Linked DNA regions of Schizosaccharomyces pombe. The gene in region 2 interacts genetically with the main gene of each other region. Each region holds a gene or a part of one and is shown on either strand. Other genes may lie near its edges. The genes, in order: adn2, gsf2, lkh1 and adn3.

The links.
Region 1: of gsf2 (region 2) and adn2, changing one suppresses a phenotype caused by changing the other (phenotypic suppression), as found in Schizosaccharomyces pombe (one study listed by BioGRID).
Region 3: of gsf2 (region 2) and lkh1, changing one suppresses a phenotype caused by changing the other (phenotypic suppression), as found in Schizosaccharomyces pombe (one study listed by BioGRID).
Region 4: of gsf2 (region 2) and adn3, changing one suppresses a phenotype caused by changing the other (phenotypic suppression), as found in Schizosaccharomyces pombe (one study listed by BioGRID).

What each region holds. Positions count from the first base shown.
Region 1 is NC_003423.3:4,399,850-4,404,667, forward strand, and holds adn2 (transcription factor), read right to left. Parts: upstream 3,021-4,818; 5' UTR 2,999-3,020; coding exon 767-2,998; 3' UTR 534-766; downstream 1-533. Other genes in the region: TIM23 translocase complex subunit Tim21, read left to right, coding at 1-142; U5 snRNP complex subunit Spf38, read left to right, coding at 4,712-4,756, 4,798-4,818. UniProt on the Schizosaccharomyces pombe protein: Probable transcriptional regulator involved in cell adhesion.
Region 2 is NC_003421.2:959,984-967,930, forward strand, and holds the start of gsf2 (protein Gsf2), read right to left. Parts: upstream 6,030-7,947; 5' UTR 3,990-6,029; coding exon 1-3,989. UniProt on the Schizosaccharomyces pombe protein: Galactose-specific adhesion protein essential for non-sexual flocculation and filamentous growth. Required for adhesion and filamentous growth through recognition of galactose residues on cell surface glycoconjugates. Induces flocculation when overexpressed.
Region 3 is NC_003424.3:655,542-662,182, forward strand, and holds lkh1 (dual-specificity), read right to left. Parts: upstream 4,637-6,641; 5' UTR 3,292-4,636; coding exon 1,219-3,291; 3' UTR 700-1,218; downstream 1-699. Other genes in the region: 3' tRNA-processing endonuclease tRNAse Z L2 Trz1, read left to right, coding at 1-699. UniProt on the Schizosaccharomyces pombe protein: Protein kinase that may act as a negative regulator of filamentous growth and flocculation. Appears to have a role in normal cell wall and septum formation and in cell separation.
Region 4 is NC_003421.2:2,342,881-2,349,125, reverse strand, and holds adn3 (transcription factor Adn3), read right to left. Parts: upstream 4,412-6,245; 5' UTR 3,760-4,411; coding exon 865-3,759; 3' UTR 528-864; downstream 1-527. Other genes in the region: transcription factor TFIIH complex subunit Tfb6, read left to right, coding at 5,529-5,620, 5,689-6,070. UniProt on the Schizosaccharomyces pombe protein: Probable transcriptional regulator involved in cell adhesion.

The DNA.
Region 1 (4,818 bases), on a different chromosome or scaffold from region 2:
TGACTATAAATGGGAATATCTTTTCGTTGATGTTGCAAATTACGGAAAAATCATAATTTTTGATCATACCAATTCTGTACGACAACAACATAAGAATTTTGGTTTATGGGGAAGCTTAAAAAATATTACATGGGGAAATTAGAATTTCCGAATGATAAACGCACGACGGAAAGGTATAGCTGTTAATTTCAACCGAAAAGGAAATCATTGAATTATTTCTCGATTTTAATGGTTTGATTAATGGTTTTTCGCAGAGAATTAATTTTCTAATTTACGAATTAATTTACAGGCGATGTTAATGATTTTTATCAGAATTAGCACACTTAGTTATGCAGTATTTGGATGTATATTGCAAAAAATAAAAAAATCGTCGACACTTTATTACTAATTAAGCGATCGAACCTCATGATTTGTTGTTTAATTAGTTAGTATAAAGAAGCGAATTTGTACGAGGGGCCTTTTCGCAGGGGCTGATTAATCGCCAATCTAATGTACTACCTAAATGTGTTTAGTTATAAAAAATATAAGAATGATTCAAAGCACATGAAATAATTTTGATTATTAGATATAAAGTACAAGATGTAGGCCGGTATTTATAACCGAGTACACTAATCCATATCCAACTAGCAATTAATTATATATTAAATTTTTATAATGACAAAACGCAACGCATTCAAAAAAGATGAAAAAATCTGGTATATAATTTCCAAATAAACAAATTAAAAAAGAAGAAAAACAAGGATAAAATACTTAAGTTTCGACAAAATTAAGCAGCAGTCGAGTCTTCATTATCCGGCAAATTAAACAATCCAAACCATAAATCGTCACCAGTACTAGTATCTTTTAAAAATTTGTCGAAGTCAAAATCATTTAGAAGAGCCGCATCGATGTCTGTTGAATTTCCAACATCCAATAATTGATTGTCTGAAGATTTAGTGGCAACTGTGGTAGACTCCGTAGGTGCAGAAGGAGTCGCGGAAGTATCAGGATTTGATTTTCCTGACTGATTTTGATTATCCAACTCAGAATCGGATTTGTGAACATTTGCTCCTTGCGATGGTTCCAAAGCAGGACCTACACTTGTTGCTTCATTTGTTGATGATTCGGGGTTGGTAGTGTTGACGGTCGGTGCTGGAGTTGGAGCATTTGAATTAGCAGAAGAAGGCTTTTGTTTTGATCGAACGTCCAATGGAGAACTGGCATTTGGAGTGGGTCGCGATGAATGAGTTTGTTGTAATTGCCAATTCCCCATAACGTCCATTCCATTGTCCGCATTATTTGTGTCAGAGGTAGATGAGTTTTCAATCAGATTAGAATAGTTTGATGGATGATCACCTGATGTACGTAAAGGAAGACCATTTTGTAACATAGGCATATTTGACTCATTGATGCCATTAAGATTTTCAGTAGTATTACTATTTTTTGTTGAGACCTTTACAGGAGATGTGGTGGCTTCTGTAGGAGTGTCAGTAGATTTAGGAGTAGTGCTTTTGGTTTTTGCAACACTAGATTCAGTAATAGTCTGAGAAAGCGGTCTATCAGGCGATGCCGATGTGTACCCTTTTCTTTCTTTTTCCTGACTAACTAACAGAAGCCTCTTTTTATTCTGTTGTTCTAGTAGCTTTAACTCCTCCATATAATTCTTGAGAGCTGGGTTTAGACGACTGGGGTTTGCGTTTCCGTTAAAATTATATAGCATATTTTGAGAGTAAGGAGAATTAGAGAATCCGTATTGGTTCATTTGATTTCCAGAAAATTGCCCAGTTGAAGGCTGTTGAGCAGGTTTAGGTTTGTCTAAAGATTTCTGTTGTTGAGGAAGGGTAGAAGAAGGTACTGCTCCTCCTTGTTTGAGATGTGGATTTCTGTTTGAAGCAAAATTTATCTCGTGAAGCAATGGTTGAGCAGAGTTTTGAACAACAGGGTATTGTCCTCCGTTAAGACCAGTGGTATCGTACAACGGATTCGACTGGGGAACGGAACCATTAGGAGTTGCCGGTAAACTAGGGCGAAATTGAGCATTAGATGGAGCACCTTCTGTTTTGGGTGAAGAAGGGATGGATCGAAAATCGGAAATTGGACCTTGCTGCTTAGGTGGATGTGTATCGTGAGTTGTAGGTTGAGAAGTCGTGTTTTGCATTTGTGGGGTAGAACCACTTTGTGGAGTTTTCTTTTGCTGGTGCTGCTTTTGTTGTTGTTGCACAGATTGTAGCTGCCTGTAGTGTAATTGTTTTAATTGTTGAAGTTGAGCAGCGGTCGGGGGAAACGTTTCACGGCTTTGATTATTTAGCATAGCTTGCCGCATTAAGTGCTGATTTCTATCGTTCAATCCACCTGCCCCTTGATGAAACTGAGATGAGTCAATCTGCTGACCCATTGCGTTGGCAGGATCATGGGGAAATGAGGCGTTTGCATAAGGGTGAGAAGTATTTCCAGTGTGTAGAGAGTTTTTTTGAATTTCTTGCAAATTTAAACGAGATTTCTTCCTAAGATTGCTAATATGAGACATATACGCCTTTGCCGGCTCAGATCCTTGACCCCGACGAGCATTGTAAATATCCCAAAAAACATTCCACCACTCGATTAAAAAACCACCAGCTGAATCGATAGGCAAAATAGGAGGTGGCGGCGGAGCAGAAGAAGAAGAAAAGGAATCTAAATTACCGTTATTTACATTCATGTTTTCATCCGAAGATTCATTATTACTTATACCTTCATGCTTTACAGCAACAGGAGACATTCTTTTGTGACGCTTAGCTAAGGAATTGGTTTCTTCTTGACTTCTGACGAGCGTTTGTACTTGTGCTTCACGGCCAAAAGCTCGGGCTGCCTCACAATAATCCTTCTTGATTAAATAATCATATATGTACGAATTCAGTAAGGATTGTGTGGTCCTATCGGCATTATTTACGTGCGGTTGTTTTTGATCTTTTTGTAAATCATGTTTCTGTCCTTGCTGGCTTGGCAATCCGACGCCGGACCTTAAACCTGGATCAGCCATAAACTAGAAATGTGCAGAAGTTAGGTGTTGCGAACGAGAATATGGATCTACAACGATGCACGCTGGCGATATATAATTTTAAAGATCTGCGCACGCTATACTACCGCAACATTTTGTATATCATATTTTCATTTTAGTTTTCTATCAATTACTGAAAATCATAAAATCATAAATGTTATGTTTGAATTTAGTTACAGAGTAAATCAAAACCCTTGAAGAGTAAAACTCTATAGAGGTTTCTTATTTTCCAAGGCAAGTCATGCTCTAAAAACATTTTTAATAATAGTTATTATGTATATATTCGGATTTGAATTATCTAAAATGGGCTATATTAAAATATGGTTCTAAGATGATATACTTTCAATGAATCAACCAGTGGTAATTTCAGATTTTATATATGCAAACTTACTAACTGAAAACTGTGGAATTAAGGGATAGGTGGGTTTAGAAAGTAAATGTAAATTGATATTTCTTCATCCGTAAAAACATCATAATGAATTAAGAATACTATTAGCCGCAGTTTTTTGTAAGAATGCTGTAATTATGTAGATAGTATCAATTATTCTTGTTTTATTTACCTTGCCTTGGAAAATATACATATCTACAGCTTTTTACATAAGTTAGCGATGTAAATACTAAGCACTGGAACTCATATTATCATTTTCTAAAGTTGTTAGAAATGCTTTTAGTAGTAAAGATTTTGGAATGTGTTCACTATTCGAAAACTAGTTGCAAATTGTGTTTTTCAGTAAATCAAGCAAGATGCTTAATTTTGGCACTACAAGTTTTTAGAAAGTACTTACATGAAGATTGGAAGCTTTGCGTAAATTTGTTTAGTTTCACATATTCCACATTTTAGTTTTCTATAATTCATTTTTTATCAAGTAGAAAATTTAGTTTCTCTCTTTCATTGCAAATGCTATAATCCGGCTTTAGAACTACTATCTACTGGATAATCCTTTATTATTGCCATGCTAGATTCCCTGTAGAATTATGGATTTTGATATTAATCAAAAATTAATTTCTTAAAGTACAAATATATTCGACGGGAGAAAGTTTATGAAATTTTGTATGCGGTTATACCTAATCAGTGATTATCTCGTTGTTTATATTTCAATTTTTGAGGCGACTAGAATAGACAATTCAGCCCAGAAAACCGTACATACAATTTTTAAGTAGAAAAATTTGTTAATAACTATACCCAAAAAAAATGTGATTACGCATCTTTAGCTAATGGCAAAATGCTTCTCAAGTGTTTTTGATGGTGGTAAAATCGAGATAGACTAGATATTAAAGCCGCTCGTTAAATATTATAAGACATTAATTGATACTAGTGTTTTTCCTCAAGCACAAACAAGGTCTGTATATAGTATACGGAATAGATATTTCTTACAATTTATTTATACTGTTTAAACGAATTTTAAATGGCTTCCATGAGAAGGGTAAATTTTTAGGGATTTTGCCTGTAATCAAAATGTTGTTCATATAAATTCTACTTTAAGTCCTGTTTATAGGAATGAGCTCATCATTCCTCGTTATTTGAACACCAAAGAAAAGTCCGATTTATTGGTATTTTGGTTGTGACAGAAACCCCTGCGACGATTGTCGATCCGTTTTATATATTTTCCACTCCCGTCCCTGCTATTCATTTTACGTTCTAATTCTGAAAACTGTCAATCAGAAATTGCAGTTATTATATATAGTAAACTGGAAATGGATAAACGAAAGGAATCGGAGAGTGCGACTAATGGACATTTAGTATGTTCGATTGCTAAAAAAACATGCACTAATATAAATAGGTTAAAAGAATTAGAATCCAA
Region 2 (7,947 bases):
GTAGCAGTAGTGACTTGAGTCTCAGTACCAGCAGTTCCAGTAGCACCAGTAGTAGGTTGAACCTCAGTAGCAGTAGTAGCTTGAGTCTCGGTACCAGCAGTTCCAGTAGCACCAGTAGTAGTTTGAACCTCAGTGGCAGTAGTAGCTTGAGTCTCAGTAGCAGTAGTAGCTTGGGTTTCAGTACCAGTAGTGACTTGAGTCTCAGTACCAGCAGTGCCAGTAGCACCAGTAGTAGGTTGAACCTCGGTAGCAGTAGTGACTTGAGTCTCAGTACCAGCAGTTCCAGTAGCACCAGTAGTAGGTTGAACCTCAGTAGCAGTAGTAGCTTGAGTCTCGGTACCAGCAGTTCCAGTAGCACCAGTAGTAGTTTGAACCTCAGTGGCAGTAGTAGCTTGAGTCTCAGTAGCAGTAGTAGCTTGGGTTTCAGTACCAGTAGTGACTTGAGTCTCAGTACCAGCAGTGCCAGTAGCACCAGTAGTAGGTTGAACCTCGGTAGCAGTAGTGAGTTGAGTCTCAGTACCAGCAGTTCCAGTAGCACCAGTAGTGGGAAGGACCTCAGAACCAGTAGTTGTAGGAGTATTAATGACAACCGTAGTGGTTCCAGTAGCAGTTCCAGTAGGAGTAACTGTGACAGTAGATGTCTCGGTTCCAGTGTAACCAGTTGTAACAGTAACAATGTCGGTTTCAGTCGCAGTCACTGTGGTAGGTGTTTGAATAACAACTGTAGTGGTTCCAGTGGAGGTTCCAGTAGGAGTAACTGTGACAGTAGATGTCTCGGTTCCAGTGTAACCAGTTGTAACAGTAACAATGTCGGTTTCAGTCGCAGTCACTGTGGTAGGTGTTTGAATAACAACTGTAGTGGTTCCAGTGGAGGTTCCAGTAGGAGTAACTGTGACAGTAGATGTCTCGGTTCCAGTGTAACCAGTTGTAACAGTAACAATGTCGGTTTCAGTCGCAGTCACTGTGGTAGGTGTTTGAATAACAACTGTAGTGGTTCCAGTGGAGGTTCCAGTAGGAGTAACTGTGACAGTAGATGTCTCGGTTCCAGTGTAACCAGTTGTAACAGTAACAATGTCGGTTTCAGTCGCAGTCACTGTGGTAGGTGTTTGAATAACAACTGTAGTGGTTCCAGTGGAGGTTCCAGTAGGAGTAACTGTGACAGTAGATGTCTCGGTTCCAGTGTAACCAGTTGTAACAGTAACAATGTCGGTTTCAGTCGCAGTCACTGTGGTAGGTGTTTGAATAACAACTGTAGTGGTTCCAGTGGAGGTTCCAGTAGGAGTAACTGTGACAGTAGATGTCTCAGTTCCAGTGTAACCAGTTGTAACAGTAACAATGTCGGTTTCAGTTGCAGTCACTGTGGTAGGCGTTTGAATAACAACTGTAGTGGTTCCGGTAGAGGTTCCAGTAGGAGTAACTGTGACAGTAGATGTCTCAGTTCCAGTGTAACCAGTTGTAACAGTAACAATGTCGGTTTCAGTTGCAGTCACTGTGGTAGGCGTTTGAATAACAACTGTAGTGGTTCCAGTGGTTCCAGTAGGAATAACTGTAACAGTAGAAGTCTCAGTACCAGTATAACCAGTTGTCACAGTAGTAACGGTGCCAGTAACAATGGTTGTAGGAATGATATACGAAGAGTTTCCATAAGGAATCTCAACTGTGTTGGTAACAACAGGGCCAGAGGAACCGGTCAATGTAGTTGTAAGAGATCCGGAATATCCAATGGTAGTAGTGGTAGTAGTAGCCGAAACACTGGGAGTTTCGATATAAACTGTAGTGGGACCAGTCTCACTTCCACTGTGAGTAACAATAGAAGTAAGCGTGGTTGATCCAGTCCAGCCAGTCGTAATAGTAGTATAACCATAATTAACACTAGTAGTGGTAGGGACATCAACAGTTTCAGTAACAATGCTATTGCTACCGCTACCAGTCAAAGTAGTAGTTACCGAACCAGAATATCCAACAGTAGTGGTGGTAGTGACAGTTGTGGGATAAGGAGTCTCCACATAAACTGTAGTAGGTCCAGTCTCATTACCACTGTGAGGAACAGTAGTGGTAAGAGTAGTGGATCCAGTATAACCAGTGGTAACAGTGGTGTAACCATAGTTAGTAGTAGTGGGAACCTCAACAGTATCAATAACAGTACCATTGCTAGGAGCTCCAGTCAAAGTAGTAGTGACGGATCCAGGATATCCAACAGTAGTGGTGGTAGTGACAGTTGTGGGATAAGGAGTCTCCACATAAACTGTAGTAGGTCCAGTCTCATTACCACTGTGAGGAACAGTAGTGGTAAGAGTAGTGGATCCAGTATAACCAGTGGTAATAGTGGTGTAACCATAGTTAGTAGTAGTGGGAACCTCAACAGTATCAATAACAGTACCATTGCTAGGAGCTCCAGTCAAAGTAGTAGTGACGGATCCAGGATATCCAACAGTAGTGGTGGTAGTGACAGTTGTGGGATAAGGAGTCTCCACATAAACTGTAGTAGGTCCAGTCTCATTACCACTGTGAGGAACAGTAGTGGTAAGAGTAGTGGATCCAGTATAACCAGTGGTAATAGTGGTGTAACCATAGTTAGTAGTAGTGGGAATCTCAACAGTATCAATAACAGTACCATTGCTAGGAGCTCCAGTCAAAGTAGTAGTGACGGATCCAGGATATCCAACAGTAGTGGTGGTAGTGACAGTTGTGGGATAAGGAGTCTCCACATAAACTGTAGTAGGTCCAGTCTCATTACCACTGTGAGGAACAGTAGTGGTAAGAGTAGTGGATCCAGTATAACCAGTGGTAACAGTGGTGTAACCATAGTTAGTAGTAGTGGGAACCTCAACAGTATCAATAACAGTACCATTGCTAGGAGCTCCAGTCAAAGTAGTAGTGACGGATCCAGGATATCCAACAGTAGTGGTGGTAGTGACAGTTGTGGGATAAGGAGTCTCCACATAAACTGTAGTAGGTCCAGTCTCATTACCACTGTGAGGAACAGTAGTGGTAAGAGTAGTGGATCCAGTATAACCAGTGGTAACAGTGGTGTAACCATAGTTAGTAGTAGTGGGAACCTCAACAGTATCAATAACAGTACCATTGCTAGGAGCTCCAGTCAAAGTAGTAGTGACGGATCCAGGATATCCAACAGTAGTGGTGGTAGTGACAGTTGTGGGATAAGGAGTCTCCACATAAACTGTAGTAGGTCCAGTCTCATTACCACTGTGAGGAACAGTAGTGGTAAGAGTAGTGGATCCAGTATAACCAGTGGTAATAGTGGTGTAACCATAGTTAGTAGTAGTGGGAACCTCAACAGTATCAATAACAGTACCATTGCTAGGAGTTCCAGTCAAGGTAGTAGTGACGGATCCAGGATATCCAACAGTAGTTGTTGTGGTTGTGGTAGGGACTGTAACAATAAGAATTGTTGTTGGAGGGGGACAACTAGTACTTGTTGAACCAGATGTGGTTACAATTAAAACCGTTGCTGGGTTGCATGAGGTGCTAGTCGTATCAGCTACAAAAGTTGAGCTCGCTTCAACAGCATTTGAAACTTGTGAACCTGAAGTGGTAGTCGAATCAGGAAGAAAGGTAGATGGGCTTGCTTGAATTGCATAAGAAGCTTCTTTCCCTGAGGTAAAAGTGCTAATAGCAGTCATGGAAGCGTCGTTGCTAACGGGACTAGCAGTAATGTAGTTAGCATCATTTCCATTTTTTACTGTGAAGGTGCTAGTAAACATGCTAGGATCAACAGCAGCGTCTCTGCCAAGTAAGGTTGGCATATCGTCAACTAGGAAATTTGGATCCGCAAGCTCGGTCTTTGGAAGTGAAATATCGTGAGGCACTTCATTTTGTGATGCAGAGGAAAGGTAATCTTCAGGTTCCATTCCCTTTTGCAAAATCCTGACATTTCCAGAAGGTAGACCAGAAGTCAAGGAGGGAAGAAGAGCAGCCGTGAAAAGTAATGCCCGAGCAGATGTGGATAAAAACCTTCTAACAGACATTGTTGATATATTCAAAAACGGGTAAGTGAATTAGAAAAAAACAAAATTATTAAGATAATTTAACCAAACGAATAAAAAAATTAAATATTATCAAAAACAAAATTAAATCCAATGCTTGACGATTGGTGTGCAGAGCGCGTTTATTGATAATATGATAGAAATTCAATTAGAAAAATAGTGAATCCCAAATGAATAAAGCTCGTAGTTTCAACAGAGAATGAAGAAAAGAGGGTTTAAATGAATGCAAAATTGCGAAAAGATTAATGAAAGAAATAATATATATAAATAAAAAATAACTGGATGAAAGGAGATTCGCAAGCTGTATTACCAAACCAACCCAAACACGAAATTACCCAGTGTTTATTTTGTGTAAATGTAGGACAACTTAAAACCCAATTTCAACCCGAAATCCTAGACGATAGAATGGGGGATGTAAAGAAAAAAGGGGAGAATATTAAAAAATAAATGCTAGCCAGATTTATTTTAAATTATTCAAATGAATGTAAAATACCCACTTGTAATTCAAAAGAATGTAGAATATGTACAAGAGCAGATTTGTTTCTCAAAAAAAAAACAAAATTGGATGCTGGCGAAAAGAATGAGTGAAGATATTGTTATCACAGATTCGTGCAGCGAAGAGAGATCAAGTCGCTTTCCCAAAATAAAGATGGAAGGAAGGAAACAAATGATGATACAACAAAAAAAAGAAAGTTCCAATAACCAAACTCTAGCAACCTCAACAAAAAGAGAGAGACAGATGGTGTATATGGAATAGGTAATCCTTTTTTTTTGCAATGTTCGAATCTTTCTCGATGCTTTGCTTTTATAGAAGAAAGTCAACGATCTTAATCTCGTTAAGAATGTTTTGGATGTTCAATTGATGACTGATTGACGAACACTCGACCACTCGCCTTCAATGTAGGAGCGAAATAACTTTCTTAAGTAGATGCGGCCATATTTATAAATAACTACACCCAAACCAATCTGTGTGAAATTTTAGCAATGAATATTTACGGAATTTTTCCTTTGCGACTTTTTCTATACCCCTCTCTCTGTACCCCGATGACCCTTTTCTCAAATGTTCCCCGTTTTTGCAAGTTTTTCTTTTTTTAGAGAAACATTTTGAATTCGAATTTAAAAAATCGTTGTCACCTATGTGGAAGACCCCGCGATAACATAAAACCTCTTCGCAAATTCTAATTTCGGCTAGGGAATAATCTCTATCTCGGGAACATGGAGGTAAGGATCCACTTTTGCATTCTGTGCTGGTTCCTAAGAATATCGAGGTCGAGCGAAGAAGAAAATTTCGATATATGGAATAACGAGACCGAGTATGCTAAAGAAAGAGAAGAAAAGAAGGCTGATTACAGGAGTAGTGTAGAGGATGTAGCAAGCGCAATTTTAATTGCAATTAAGAAGCTAGTGAAACAAGAGATTAAGATTTAATTTGTGGAGATGACAGGAGAGAAATGAAAAAGTGCGACTATGAAGAATGATGAGTAAGTGAGTGGAAGTGTAGTAGAGATGGGGTTGTGGTAGCGAGAAAGGCGGTGTTTAGAAGGATGTAGTAGTAGTTCATGCAATGTCAATTCATTAGTTATGCAACGTCTAAGTCGTTAGATTTTCAATGTTTGCTTAGTGATCAAAGCATTTATAATTGAAATTTTTTAGTTCAATTTTAAGGTGGCAGCGTTCAGTTGCTATTTTTTCGCGTCTATTTGAATTGCGACGATTGTAAACGAAAAATAACCTTTCAATATTATGGATGGATGTCCATTCGCGCATTGGAAAGTTTCTACTGATTTGAATGACTTTTTACGCGTCCTTTTCCAATTTCTTTTCCTACAATTTTTGGCAATTGTTTTTGTTTTTTTTGTTATCACCACTATTGTTTCATCTTCTCCCTCCAACTAGCGTTCTCCTCGGATAAAAATACTTGCATTTACTTCTATATGTCCAATTCATAAAATTACAAGTATGTCAAACCTCTGCCGGCTTATAGTCCAGCTTGCCTTGGAGGCAGAATGCATGGCGGCGCTCACCAGGTGTTGTCAATCTGGTCCCGTAGAATGGTGGTAATTTTTGCAACTCTCATTACTCTACGCTAATTATATATACTGCATTCTTAAGTAATATAGTGAATCGGAATGAGTTTTTTTTTTTTTTTTTTTTTTTTTAAGCAAATTGGATCGGAAAAACAAGGACAAGAAATGAACGAAAGCCTTGATAATTACGAGAAAAATTACATAAAATATATGGAAATCTTTTTAGAATGAAATGAATTCTTTTGCTTCTTTTCCAAACGTCAAAGCCAACGTACTATATCCTTTTTGCTACTGTGTACATGCTACGCTCTACTTCACTAAACAGTCAGGTCAGTATGTACTATTTTCGGTCAGTGTGTACTTTTTGCTCTGGTTGTGATTAAAGCTAGTTTGGCTTAGCCATCATGGATGGTAAAGCCGGCAATGCCTAGGCACATGTTGAAATGGTTATTTTTATAGAACTAGCTATTTTGGATGAAAGTTTGAGAAGGAAACCCGAGAATATAGACTCACGAATAAAGAAACACTCATTAATTATTCGTTTAAAAGATATGAGAAGAAGTTAAAACAAGAACCTTTCTATTTTCATCCACCATTCACACAACAAATACTTTTTGTTTGTAAGCAGCTTCTTGTGTTTCTCGTCTATTTCTGTAAATAACCAACATCGGATAGCACACCCACTTTACTTTCTATTCTTAGTAGCCGTCGTTATTTATTTTTAGCAGTAACCCGCTCCTGCCGTACTAAACGGCATTCATAAACGGAATTAGTGCAGTGTAGTGTAGTGCATTCAGTGATCAAAGGGGATCTTATTTTCTTCGATTGTCTTCTAAGTTTCTCTATTTTTAGATGGACATTTTAAAAAAAGTCTTCTTCGTGTATTGTAGAATACCTTACCCCCAAAAATAAAAAAGAATAAAAAAAGAGAATCCTGAATCACACACACTCTCTCTCTTTCAAACATTTTTTTTTTCTGTGGAATTGTCAATTTATGTGCTGCGAAACTTTTCGCTAATTTCAACTTTACGACTCGTAAAATGCTTCGTTAAGCAAAAGGGGTAGGCTTATATACTATTAGTAAATAACCATCGGTCCGACAAGGCAAGAGGGCAATTTCGATTATGCATCCAATTTTCATAAACTGTAGAAGGGAAATTAGATAAAAAAGAGGTGGCTGAATCAGATGCTTTTCTTTTCTTTTTTTTTAATTCATTATTTGTTTTCACACAGTAAAGTTTTATGTGTACATACGAATTCACCAATATTCATACACTCGGGTTCCCATGGAAAACAAGGCAATCAAATTACGATAAAAAAATATATATATGTAAAGAAAAGAGCAATCGTTAATTGTTGTTGTTGTTGTTTTTTTTCGAAGAGAAGTCGTATTTGTTTCTTTTTTTTCTTAGACATTTTATTGTTCCTTACCTTTATTTGTTCTTCCATGCTTTCTTTATTTACATAGGGTCTCCGTTACTTGATGTTCTTTACCTCTTCCTCGTGCTGAAATTGAATGGAATACGTCATGATTTCGGTAAATCAACCCTTTAAATTTTCGGTAATCCTTGACCAATGTTTGTTTCTCAAATACAAAAACACTAAAGCTTATACGTCATGACATGATGTTATCTGTTCGTTGAGTGGAAGGATGATGTCAAACACATTGTCCAATTGCGGCTTTTAAATTTCGCTTCCTTGTTTATTTATGGCATCATATGAAGAAGGAGAACATTGTGACTCCATTCCGCTTCGTTATTCACCTTTTCAAAACAAGAGGTTTCTACGATTAGCGAGGTCGTCGTTAAGCATAATTAAAGAGAAGAAGATATACAAGATGGTAATTTGATTCTTTATTTCTATTTATATTTTATTTTTTACTTTGATACTTGTGTCCCACTTGTTAATTCTAT
Region 3 (6,641 bases), on a different chromosome or scaffold from region 2:
GACCATCATGCTGGTGTTATAGGGGTTTTAAAGGCTTGGACGAAGTACTCAGATGGCAGATCAAAGTTGTTTATAACAGCACCTCCACAATTTGAATTTTGGCTACTAGAATACTCAAGGATTGATTATCTACCATTATCCAACATCGTATTTATTTCCAATAGTGCTTTACGTACTGACAGGAAGCCGTCTGCTTTGGAATCCTCTAGGTTGTCTTCTTTATTTAAAGAATTTGATTTAGTATCTTTTCGAACGGTTCCTGCCATACACTGCCCGTATTCATATTGCATGGAGATTACTAATTCCAGTGGTTGGAAGATCGCATACTCTGGAGATACTCGACCTTCTGAGGATTTTGCTAACATTGCCAAAGACTCAACTTTATTAATTCACGAAGCTACTTTGGAAGACTCTATGCACGAAATTGCAATAAAAAAGCAACACAGTACTTACTCTGAAGCTTTAGAAGTGGCCAAAAAAGCTGGTACAAAAAACGTTATTTTGACTCATTTTAGCCAACGATATCCCAAATTACCAGACATTGATATTTCGACAGAAGACTTACATATAGCTTTGGCGTTTGATGGAATGACTCTTAAAATATCGGATATCTCATTGTTTCGTTATTTTGGAAAGCCTCTGGCTTATCTATTTAATGAGGAAAATTTAAAAGAGGAGTCGGATCCTTTAAAGTTCTAACTACTTGAGCTATTGTCTCATATTATATAAATTGGGTCTCAGGCAAGTGATCTCTGTTGTTTAATGAAATGGGCAAACCTTTTCTTCATTATACAATTATGTTCATAACAAAATACTTCAGACTTCAAAAAAATTGTCAAGGTAATCCGTATCTATTAAAATAGTCCTGAAAACCATTAATGATCTTTTTTTCTTTTATTTCACTGAGTAACTACTATTTAACCCAAGGACCAAAATTTACGAGTGTAATTGACGACTTAATCAAACCTTTATGGAATAATCTAAAAAGAGGACAATTTTGAGTTTTAATTTATATCGGATAACCAAGTACTCTATGCAATTAAAGTAATTGTAGAACATGCGAGTTTTCGTCTAAGAAACTGAATAATAACAAACGAATAAACATCAGCTAAAGCGTAACACAAACCAGAAATACGAGACTTCCGTAGATTTGTAAATTAGAAAGAGTGAAAATTATTGAAAAACATGAAGTAAATTATAAATCTCTAAGTTTATCCATCACAAATTTGAAGAAATTGGTTGGGTGAAAAAGGGATGCCAAAGGGCCTCTTTTGCAGTTATTCGCCGCTTAGGATCGTAAACGAATACTTTTTTCAATAAATCAAGCAGCAAAGCCACTTCTGGAGATGATACTGCAAATATTTGCTCTAGCGTTTGCAGAGATTGAAGATAATTAATGCTTTTTTTAGGCGTATTTGACAAAGGATAACGGACTTTTCCGTCAGATTTAAAAAAACGTTGCGATGTACGAGAGGAACGCGAAATCATATTCCTATCAAAGGGACCCAGGATTTTTTCCATCATGCACAGATGCTCACTATCTTCATGGGTTTGAAACAAGGCTTGTCCCGTGAATAACTCAACTAAAATACATCCAATACTCCAAACATCGCAAGGATAAGACCAACCCAACCCTAAAATAATCTCTGGAGCACGATAATGACGAGTACTCACTACACTGGAATGGTATTCATCTTCAAATGTTGCACTACCAAAGTCGATAAGCCGGATTTCACAACTATTAAGGACTTTCTGTGAATAATTCCGATAAGGTAATCGAATAGTTCTTGAGGCATTAGATACCAGAAGAACATTTTCGGGTTTAAGATCGGTATGTACTAGTCCCAAAGAGTGAAGAAACGCAACACTTTTAAAAAGTTGTTGGGATAGCATCTGAATATGCTTCAAAGGGAAAGGAATGTAGTTGTTATTCTTTAAAAAATCAAAGACACTCCAGCCAAAAAGATCAGTCACAATGCAGATGTGCTTGCGGTAATCGAAATAATCGCGTAACTGAATGCACTTATTTTCATTTGTCGGATCACTATGAGCTATAGTTTGTAAAACTCTTAATTCAATGAGACTAGCTTCTCTGTACTTTGGAATTGCTCGAGTCACCTTGATAGCACAATGTCTACCTGTACTTTGATCGTAACACTGGATAACTTTGCCAAAAGTACCGTGCCCAAGCAAACGAACAACTGTATAACGGTTGGCAAATTTGGAGTTAGGTACAACCTTGTAATGACCGTCATCATCATCAAAAGTTGATGGATCAAAAGCGGTAGTATCATGCACAACAGGAACATTTACGCGGTCGACTTTTTTATATGGGGGCCATGCAGCTCGCTTCCTTTTCTTCGGAGGTCGATAATCGGAAATAGATACAGGAGTGATAACTTGATTGGCATTAGAAGCCGGTTGATAAACGTTTGCAGAAGGAGGTTGGAAAGTTGGTTGAGTCATCGGAAGCCATACGGCCAGCGTTGGAGATAATGGTACAGCGGTATGATTGTTAATGGAACTTGGGGTGACGGAATAATTTACACTTTTATGTTGAGACGATTGCGAGGAAGGAGCGATAGCAGTAGCCGGAGCTAGCTGAGGAGGGTTAGAAGGACAATACGTTGCAGGACATAGTGGGGGAGGATAAGAGGTTGGAGACGAGTAAGGATGATTATGGATGGGATGTGGAAGCCTGTTCGGATGGACTTGGAGCTTTGGTAAATTAGGGATCACTGGAGGTTTAGAAATTGGTTGGTGAGGTAAATTAGGAGAGGGAAGCGAAACCGGGTACCAGTGTGAAGGAACTTGAGGGACAGGAGGCGGCCGTAAAACAGGTTGACATGAAACAGGTAGTGGATTATGAAGGGGAGGATGATGTGAATGGGGAAATGGCGATTGATTATTTGAACACGCATGATACGATGTAGGAGACTGAACCATATATGAAGGATGGCTGGCGACATCATGCGGTAATGGAACGACGCCATTAGCATCCAACCATGGATCATAGGATTGAGGAAGAGATACCGAGTTAGTTGATGGATAAACAGCATTCGCACCATTGATAGGGACTGCCACAGTGCCAGTGGTAGAGGGTGATGATGATGAGGGAGGTTGCGGAGGTACGAAGGATTGTAATTGATGAACAGAAAAAGGAGGCGGTAAATTAGGGGTAAGCCGTGGAGAAGCTGAGTCCTCTATAACAATGACTTCTTGTGGAACACCATTTTTATAAAAGTCCTGCCAATCAGGCGCATGATTTCTACGACGTTTTAAGGAATGCATTTTACAATAAAAAGATTCCGTCTAAGTCATGCGAGCAAATTGGTAAAGTGAAGAGGTAGAAGACGTCGAAACCTGAAAAAAGGGATAAGTATCTTTTAGAATTATGCAAAACCAGAAGCAAAAATGATGAAAAGAGATACCAACCACCGAAAATAAGTGTTTCTCAAACAATAATAAGGGGAAAAGTTTCCTTGTTCGAAGTCACCAAGCGACAAAAGCAATAAAAAACCTTTTTTTTCGACTCGTCGAAGGGTAAGAACAAAATAGAAAGGCGGAATTTAAAAAATAAAAATAAAAAATGGACGAATTAAAGCAATAGAACTGAACTGACAAGCATTCGACAATTGGTGTTGGACCAGAACAGCTAGTTCATCAAGAAGCAGAGAATGGGAGGAAGAATGAGCAATCAAGTTAACTGGTACACCTACTTCGAAAGAGTTTCAAAATTTGAATGCAATCACGAAGAAAGAAGTTAAAATTCTCGACGTTGTAAAATTGCAAGGCCGTCGATCAAACGATAAATCAGCAAAGAAGCGGAAAACAGTGAGAAAGTGAACTTGAAATATATTTATCAAACCAAATGGTTTCTTATATCAGGGAGAAGAAAGCCGTTTTCTCAGAATAAAGACAATTGACGACAACCACTAAACCCCTTTCTCAATCAAATGTAGGGTGCAACAGTAAAGAGAAACAGCAAATGCAAAAAGGTATCGGAGAGAAATAAATATCTACAATACCGGAGAATAAGTATGCCGAACACGGAGGGTCTGTAAAGGCAAATCAAACACGAAAAAACGATAAACACCAAACCTTCAATCAACAACTAGCGGAAACCTTTGTATCAATCGTATTGCTTTAAAGTAATGATGTTCCAAGGCAATATTGTACCATGAGACAATGATGAGGTTTTTGTGTTTGAGGGGGTGCGATTGCGCTACTACCAAAATTGATCAATGTCCAAATCAGGCGGATTAGTAATTTGGATAAAACAAAAGTATAAATAACCCCCAAAAGAATCGGCAATTACCAGGGCAGTTTTCAAAAGCACACAAAGTCGACGACAAGCGATGTAGCTGTAGTACGAAAGTCTACCTAACAAAATGGTAGATCGTAGATGGAGAAAAGCAAGTAGTGAGTGTAGTAAATTGAAGAATGAAGTATATACGACTCTTAATAAGCAATTTTCTTTTTCTTTCCTTCAATCCCACAGAATGTAATTCCAATGGGGGGGGGGTAAAACAACAAAGCAATGTCCTAATAATACAACTGCTAAGAAAACTAGTAATTGAGGATAGAAAGGATAAAAGAAAAAGCCTCAAGCCAATTCGAGGGATGTGGAGAAAGTAAAAAGGAATTAGCAAGAGTTTGGATAATAATAAGTTGCGTTTTCTTTGGTAAAGCCACTTAGAAAAGGTGAAATTTGCATGAGATAATCATGTTTGTGAGACCGGAACAACATCATTGTTATTCTATCCTTAAAATAAAATAGCTGGAAAAAATTGGCCGGACGAGGGAACAACCCAACAATCACCATCCAGGCGCGTTGCGTTTGGCACCTCCTTCCTATGAAAAAGTATACACATTCCACAACACCATGTGCGCAGTATGCAACGTACCTAGCCGTCACCCAACTATAGCGTAAGAGACGCTTGCTACTCTGAAGGGCTGAGATCTACGAAAACCGCCATGGCCGTAGAGGCAGAGGCGCTGAATGAATTTTCATTAATTTAGATCACTAATCATTTACCATTCAAATGCCGCTCCATTCAACTCAACCATATTCACTTAAGGAGTTTTCGTAAGAAATGGCTTATCATTGTCATCATACCATTCAAACATCAATACACACCACACATACACACACACACAAATGTACACAAGCATGCACACTCATACACATATATAAACGCATGTTTACATAAATAGTTATAAAATTTACATATAGTTTTACGCATAAATAATGCAACTGTCATTCTCACCATCTCTATCCAACTCTACCTACCATGTACTATATACTGTATTATACAATGAATGCTATATGCCCGCTTATACTGTAGCTGCCTTGTCGCCCGCCCCATTTGTCCATGGTATAGTATTCCGCACAATTCTTTACCAGAATAGAAATGAAATATAGAAAACATGCCTTTTCAGAAGCGTTTCTCACACTTTCAACAAATGTCGTCCAGCCCATCTGCCAAATTCTCTTACCAAACTAGTCTTGATTATGGCCATCCGTCCTCGGTAATCGAATATTTCGTCCAAACAGCGACGCTTGGCCATCAAAAAATTTAGTGGATGACAATAATCTATGTAACAAATAATACGATAAAATTGCCATGATGAGTAACAAAACAACAAAGGCAATAATTCATCAACTATTGAATAATCATTTAATGGTCGCGAAAAGGAAACAAATATAATTTTCTACAATCAATCATCTACAATGACTGATGTTAGAGCTTGAAAACGGGATGTGAAAAATTCAATCAACATGACTTCAAATGGGGTGAGAAATTGTAATTAAGCAAAGGAAAAAAATAGGCAACAAGGCATGGTTGTAGCTGCAATTAAGGGACTAATGTGTCGTGAAACTCAAAAATGTAAAAAAAAGAATGACAATCCCCTTGCATAATTGAATTACCCGTTGAAATTTTTGGGAAATCCGGTTACTGCAGACGGAAGTTGAAAGTCAACTTTATCTCGGTTCTTTTTTTCCTTTTTTTTTTTTTTTGCAACTTCCTTACCGGCACGCAAGGTCCGTCGCACTTCTGGACCAGGAGTAAACTGCTTACTTATTGAAAGAACAAAGAAAATTTTAACCTTTCTTTAAATACGCTTTCTTTTCTTTTTCTTTTTTCAGGCTATTTTTTTGCTCCTCCCGTCATCCCTAATAGCTAGTCGGCTTTAACGATTATTATTTTAGGAGATGCTAAAGTGCAGATTGACGGTCTTGTTCGTAATTTGCAATCAGTCTATGTCATGATCCCTGACCTCAGTACAGTGGAAGCTGTCTGGCTGGCAAGGGTAAAGGCTAGTAAGTACTATCAATTATGTATGTCAGTTGTGGATGGGGAATTATTATTGAGACTTTTTACAAAGTGTCAAGCTCGAGATTTGGCCATTACATGTCGGTAAAGCAGCTGAACAGCGATATGCCGTTCATAAAAAAGCGTCAGCACAAGTGAAATCAAGTGTCATGACATGAAAGTCTAATCGGTTATTTGCAACATTAACCGAAACTTGTAGAAAATGCGCTCTTTGGCAGTTGAAAAACGCAGACATTACAGATGCTATAAATACATAGTATTAAAAACATAATAACAAATAACAATAACATGTTAATTAATCTT
Region 4 (6,245 bases), 1.4 Mb from region 2:
CTATCGGTTCCGATTACTTATCATAGTTAATAAAATTGAATGCTATTTTTTAAGGCCTCATTAAAATATGTTTATAAACAATGTGTTAAAAAACGCATATTTCTGTAAGATCTGAAAGTTTGTTCGGATTGATGCTTAATTTTTCAATTTCGCATGTTGTAGTTTAATTAATTAAACTTAGGCAATCAGCATATTTCCTTAAATTCCAGCTGTCTCTCCCTGCTGTAAATTGCGATACTGCCAATGATCAATATTAAAACCCCTCGCGATTTTCTTTTGTTTCATAGTCCTGCTTATTTCATCTTCACCCTGCAAATCATTATCCAGAAAAAAAGGTTGTGTAATTGATTAATGTTGGATTGCTTTTACTGACCGTGAAATCATATCATGCAAGCAGTATTGTTATGCTAACTCCTTTGGTATTCAAACATTGTTTACAGAAATCGTTAGTTCCAAAATGTTTTAGCTTATGCAATGGTGCTACTTAATTAAGTAATAACTATTTCTTCAGAACACGTAGATAAAAATTCCTGCTAGTATAATGATGAATCATATTTATTATATACGCTTGAAAGCAGTTCTTATTTATTTACACATTATCTTATAAATAACGAAAATCAACAATATGGTAAAAATTCGATGGGTGTAGTAGATTGGCAGGAAAAGCTTCATGTAAAATACACCTATCGGGCTGGATGGCACGATTAATGATGAGAATTATAAAAAAAAAACCGGTAATTGTAGCAATCCATGCAAATTTAAACAGACACAAATAAAGAAGAAATATTCATCCATCCAAGCTAATTTACACAAACAACGTCTCCACAGGTAGCGTTGAAGAAAAGTAGGAAAGGAAATCGGCACCTAATAATAAACAGATGCCGAATCTGCACCAGCATCATTTAGGAAACTTTCAAAGTCAAAATCATTTAACATTTCAACATTACTGTCGGTTTTAGAAGAAAAGCCGAATGCATTTCCAGCACTATCGTTAAACAAAGCATCATCTTCGAGTTTAGAAATTGGCTTTGCCGCCGTAGGTTCATTCTTCGCATTTGAATCCAAAGCGGATGTATCGCCGCCACTTTTCTCTTTGCTTTTAGAGGCATCCACCATAGACGATGAATTAACGCTGTTAGATTGCATTTGTAGAGACTGAGTAGTATCTTGTGAAATGGAATTAGTTCCTCCTGTCGGTTCTGGAGCTCTAGATGCATTAGGGCTTGTTTTTGCCCCTGGAGAAGCATGTGCAGAGGGAGAATCTTTCATTATCTCAGAGAAAGTCGATCGTTCGGTTGTGCGTATAGTATTGTCGGCGACACCCATTGTAGCTATTCCACTTTTTCCTGGTTGCGCATGTAAGGAAGAAAACGAAGAAGAATCCTTCGCACCAGGTGCATTCAATGAGCTAGTATCAAATGACTGCGGCATCATCCAAGATGTTCTACTTTGTGGAAATGCAGGATTTGTCAATTCTTCCTTATTCAATGGCATTCCGGTCACTTCTTTATTTTGAGTTAGTCCATCTGGTTTATTAGATACAGGCTGATTGAGCTGTTGTTGCTGAGAAACAAAAGGTGACATTGAGCGACTTAACTTTTCTGCTTGTGGAGCAGAAGGTGAGAACTGTTGATGTGGCGAATATGATAAGCCCTCGCCATTTCGATTTGTCGGTTGGATAGTCCCGGATTTAGTTGAATCAGCAGCTGGAGTATTGGCCTGTGCTGGGGAATTTGCGCTAACCGGTACGTTTGGCTGAATCATAGGAGCAGTTTGATTAGGTATCATTGACATATGCTCCTTACCTACATCCACACTATAGCGACTATTCATATAGGACTGTGGAGATAGTGAACCAGTTCCTTGTTCTTGTCGTGCCATCATCAAACGCTTCTTGTTTTGTTCCTCCAAAAGCATAAGTTGCATATGATAGTCGCTAAGAGCATGATTACCTTGCTGCATATTAGCTGGATCCATTGACATTGAAAATTCATTCGGATTAGGTCCTGATTGTTGAGGTGGCTGATTACCAGAGCTAAGTGTTTGAGTATTACGCTGTATAGCCATTTCTCTAGATTTGGCAATCTCCATAGCTTTCTGCTGGCTTAACATGTAGGACATCATGTTGTTTTGATCCTGCATTTGAGCATGAGGACGGTAGTAATTCTGCATATAAGGTGATTGAGGTGTCATCCGAGAAGTAGAAGGGTTCATATACCTCGATCCATTTGCTTGAGTAGGATGCCGAGGAGCGTATGACGGCAAAGTGGGAGCTTCAACAGAACGTGTTGGAGTAGCGCGTGAATGGTCATCTGCGGAAGGCTTCATACTTACAGGTAATGGTGATTGTAAAGGCATACCACCTACTTGTTTAACGGGTATAGGTGTATTACCTGGCACTTTGAGCCCAGCCTGATAAGGAAGGTACTGTGATGGAATCTGCCCTACAGGTGGATGTTGCGAAGGAGGTGAAGAGGTAGGAAGCTTTTGATGGCGAACGTCCCCGAAATTCCTCATAACCAATCCATTTGGCTGGAGACCTTCAGCAGAAGTAGATTTGTTCCATTGCTGTTTTTGAAGATCGGCGCCACTACCAACACCTCGAAAATCCACGTACTGCAATTGTTGATCTTTGTTCGATTTCATGTTAATAGGAGCAGGCTCCGACATTTGTTTGCTTTGTCGTTGGAGATGCTGTTGTTGAGCCTTTAATTGATGTATCTGGGCCGGAGTTGGAGGATAAAAGCCGTTTCTAGCAGCAGTAGGGTTTGGTCCCATTCCTGCAGGATAAGTACGAGGATCAGTATCACCAAAAGAAGAATAAGAAGGGCCCATCATTGCAGTGTTCGGTATATAATTAGGTGGGACAGTAATCGAAGGTGCAGGTGTGTACGGGTTAAAGTTGGAAGATTGAACAGGGTGGTTCTTTTGAAGTCTATCTGCTGATGCAGGGAAAGAGTTATGCGGATTTTGCATAGCATGAGAAGGTGGGATAGAAGTCTTTGCACCTTCAATGGATGTAGAAGGAGTGCCCTTTGGTATGGTTGGGTTATTCATCACTTGTCCCTGTAAAACAGAAGGATTTAAAGGAAGAGAAGGATTGGGGACAACAGCGGAACGAGAAAAAGTGGAGGAAGGAACAGGTTGAGATGCTTGGAGGTTAGACATGGGACGGGCCATTTGTCTTTGAGTAGAAGGATCATATAATTGAATAGGCGTGCTATTTACACGACTTACTCGCGCACTAAATACATCCCAAAAAATATTAAACCACTCCACCAAGAAACCTTCGGGAACATTTATAGAAACTTCAGAAGGGGGAAGGGATGATGATCCAAATGACTGGCGTTTATCTAATGAAATGTCCTCGTTAGCATGTACGACATTGGTTTCTTCCTTTTTGTTGGGAGACGGAGCTGATGACATGTGGTTGTAAAGTCGATCACCAGAAATCGATTCAGAAATTTTGCTAGGAGAGGCTAAAGATGAATTCTTTGGGGGGAAAGGTGAAGGTGCGTTATTGTTGGAAGGTGAAAAGGCAGTAGATGAAGAAGATTTTGGAATTTGAATTTTTGACTCTCGTAAAAAAGCCTGTGCGGCTTCCTCAAAGTTGTGCTTAACAAAATAGTCGTATATATAATAATCCAGAGACTCGTTTGGATGCGAATTACCCAGTGAAGAAGACGCAGGAGCCGAGGATTCGTATTGAGAAGCTTTTGCAGAATGAGAGGATGGCTCTATGTCCATGAAATCAGCCATTGTATTTTTCTTGACGCTAAATAAATGTCATCAATTTTATCTAAAATGGCGATATGAAATCGAAAAAGCAAACTGGGAATATGGAGAACGAAACGAATGTGGAACACTATAAAGATGTAAAGGAAAGTGCAAAGATTTAAAACAAAAAGCTAAGAGATTTAAGAAAACAAAGATGAATTAACAGCGTATAACACCAAAAAAAAAGAAAAACCAAAGAGGAAAAGTGCAATGAAAAACCGCAGGTAAGGATTGATATAAAAATAATTATAGGAAATAAGACCAGATATTTTTTGAGGAAAAGGTGTATTTTGGGAATGGATGCTTAAAATTATGGTTGATTAGAATGCGCGCTATTCAAATGGACTTTTGGACCTGGCTCCTTTCTTTGCACAAGCAAGATATATATGCTTTAACAGATGAAAAGATAGGTCATGGAAGGATTAAGAATTCAGTATTGTCGTTAAAATTCGAGTGCTCTTATGCTCAAACGATAGCGCTGCTGTTGTCTTTAATGTAGTTCAAATTGAATGCACAGTGTAGCAGTCAGAGAGGCTCGATGCTTTTTAAAAACAAAATTTTCTTTCTCGTTCCTTGAATCTTCTCAAATATCGATATATTAAAGGCTTAGGCAAAAAAGTAGTAATAAAGCCGTAAATAGTCGGTTTTGAGTGTGTGCCTCCAAACCAAATCCGAATACTGAGATATGTTTAAACTTCGTTATCACAGCTACTGAACTAGTCGATATACGTTAGATATCAGCTATGAAGATTAAATAATTTAATATTCTGTATATTGCAAAACGAAAGGCAAAAGACTAAGTCACCTTCCGAAAGTAAACAGCTTGCTACAGATAATCTTAAGTAGCTCATTTGAATTTAATCGACCAAGCTTCACGTTCCGCTTTTACTATCATATCCCTTTATACCTTTGTTAGAATCTAGCTCGCATCGTTCGATTATGATCAACTATTTTCTCGCATTAGTTAAGGATCGTTGGATACTTATTCATGACTTCTAGCTATTTAAAAACTTGCTAAGCAAGAGGAGCTAGTTGCCTATAGATAGTAATCAAGAAATTTCTTCATTACCAACTTGGAATCTCGATTACTGCTTCCATTTATTAGATCCGTCTGATAAATTACCCTTCTAAATAAATAACATTGCTATGTTTTACTTCATTTACTCGCCTGACATATTTGGCCTAAATATAATCGTAAACAGAATAAAGGCAAGCATGCTAAATCATAATACCCGATGACATTTCAATAAATATTCTTTTATAGAGGGTACATTGAAAATGATAATAATGAGAAAATTCAGCTTATGGTGGTGGTCAGACAATTTTCTTATAAAAAATGTGTTTTCGGCTTCCAAAAAATTGCCCTATCTCAAGAACTTTTTTTGTAGAAGGTTAATGTTGATAAATGGGTATACCCCTAAATCGTCGTCATTGACTCTCTTTCCTCTCCAAACATCACCGTCATATAGAAAAGCGAACAGAATTCTGTTTTCACTGATTTTTTAGATAAATAAGGTTTTAATGCTTTTCTTGTCGATATTGAGTTTTATTCTCCCTAGTCACTCTTCTTCAGAAACTAAATTTTGTTTTGTATAAGCTTATACGCTTCCTTGACTTTTTAGATAGTTATTCATGTATATTTAGTTGTTGCATTATTAATTAGCAACTTAATTTCCGATCTTTAGTTCGTTATCAATATCGCTTGACCCTTTTTTTTCCTGGAAAGGGAATTTCTGTTTCTATATTCAGCTATGGCACTTGAATTAACTGAGCACCAATTAAACAAGTTGCGCGACTTTCTGGATGAGATTTTATTAGACGTGTCTCAAAAATACCAAAAGAAGTACGTTTTTCAATTCGTTTTGCCTAGTCTTCTTCACTCTTTTTATTTGCTAACATTGGTATCGTTAGATTCCATCCCGGTGGCTATCAAAAATTAGAGGAATTAGCATTTGATTTGGAACCATACTTTCAGGTGGTATCTTCTATTCCTTTGGAAAAGCATACTTTTCTCGTAACCAATTTCACTCTACGAGGTATCGACTTTTTTGTCGACACTATTGTTGGATTTCCGGCCTCCCCAGAGACAACTTTTAAGGTATTTTCCCTACTGGATTCTCTTTGCTTAAGGCTCATACAATCGGGAAATCTTTCTACTACAGATACTATACGGTTAAAAAGTCTGATGGAGAATTGCCGTATGGTTGTTATTTCAAAATTGAGCGACGTTCAAGGATACGAAATGGATTGTGCCTCTATTTTTGAGAAGAGTTTGAACAGCATAGATTTTTAATGCATTTGTTCTCCCCGTCATTATTTCTCCGTTTACTGACTAATTTTCTATAACTTTTGGTAGCCATTTGTGACTTCGATGGTATTTTAAAACAATTGCAACGTCAAAAAAAAGAACCATCAACTCGGAAAGATTATAATATTTTTGTACCCGCTCTTCTTTTTAATCACATTCA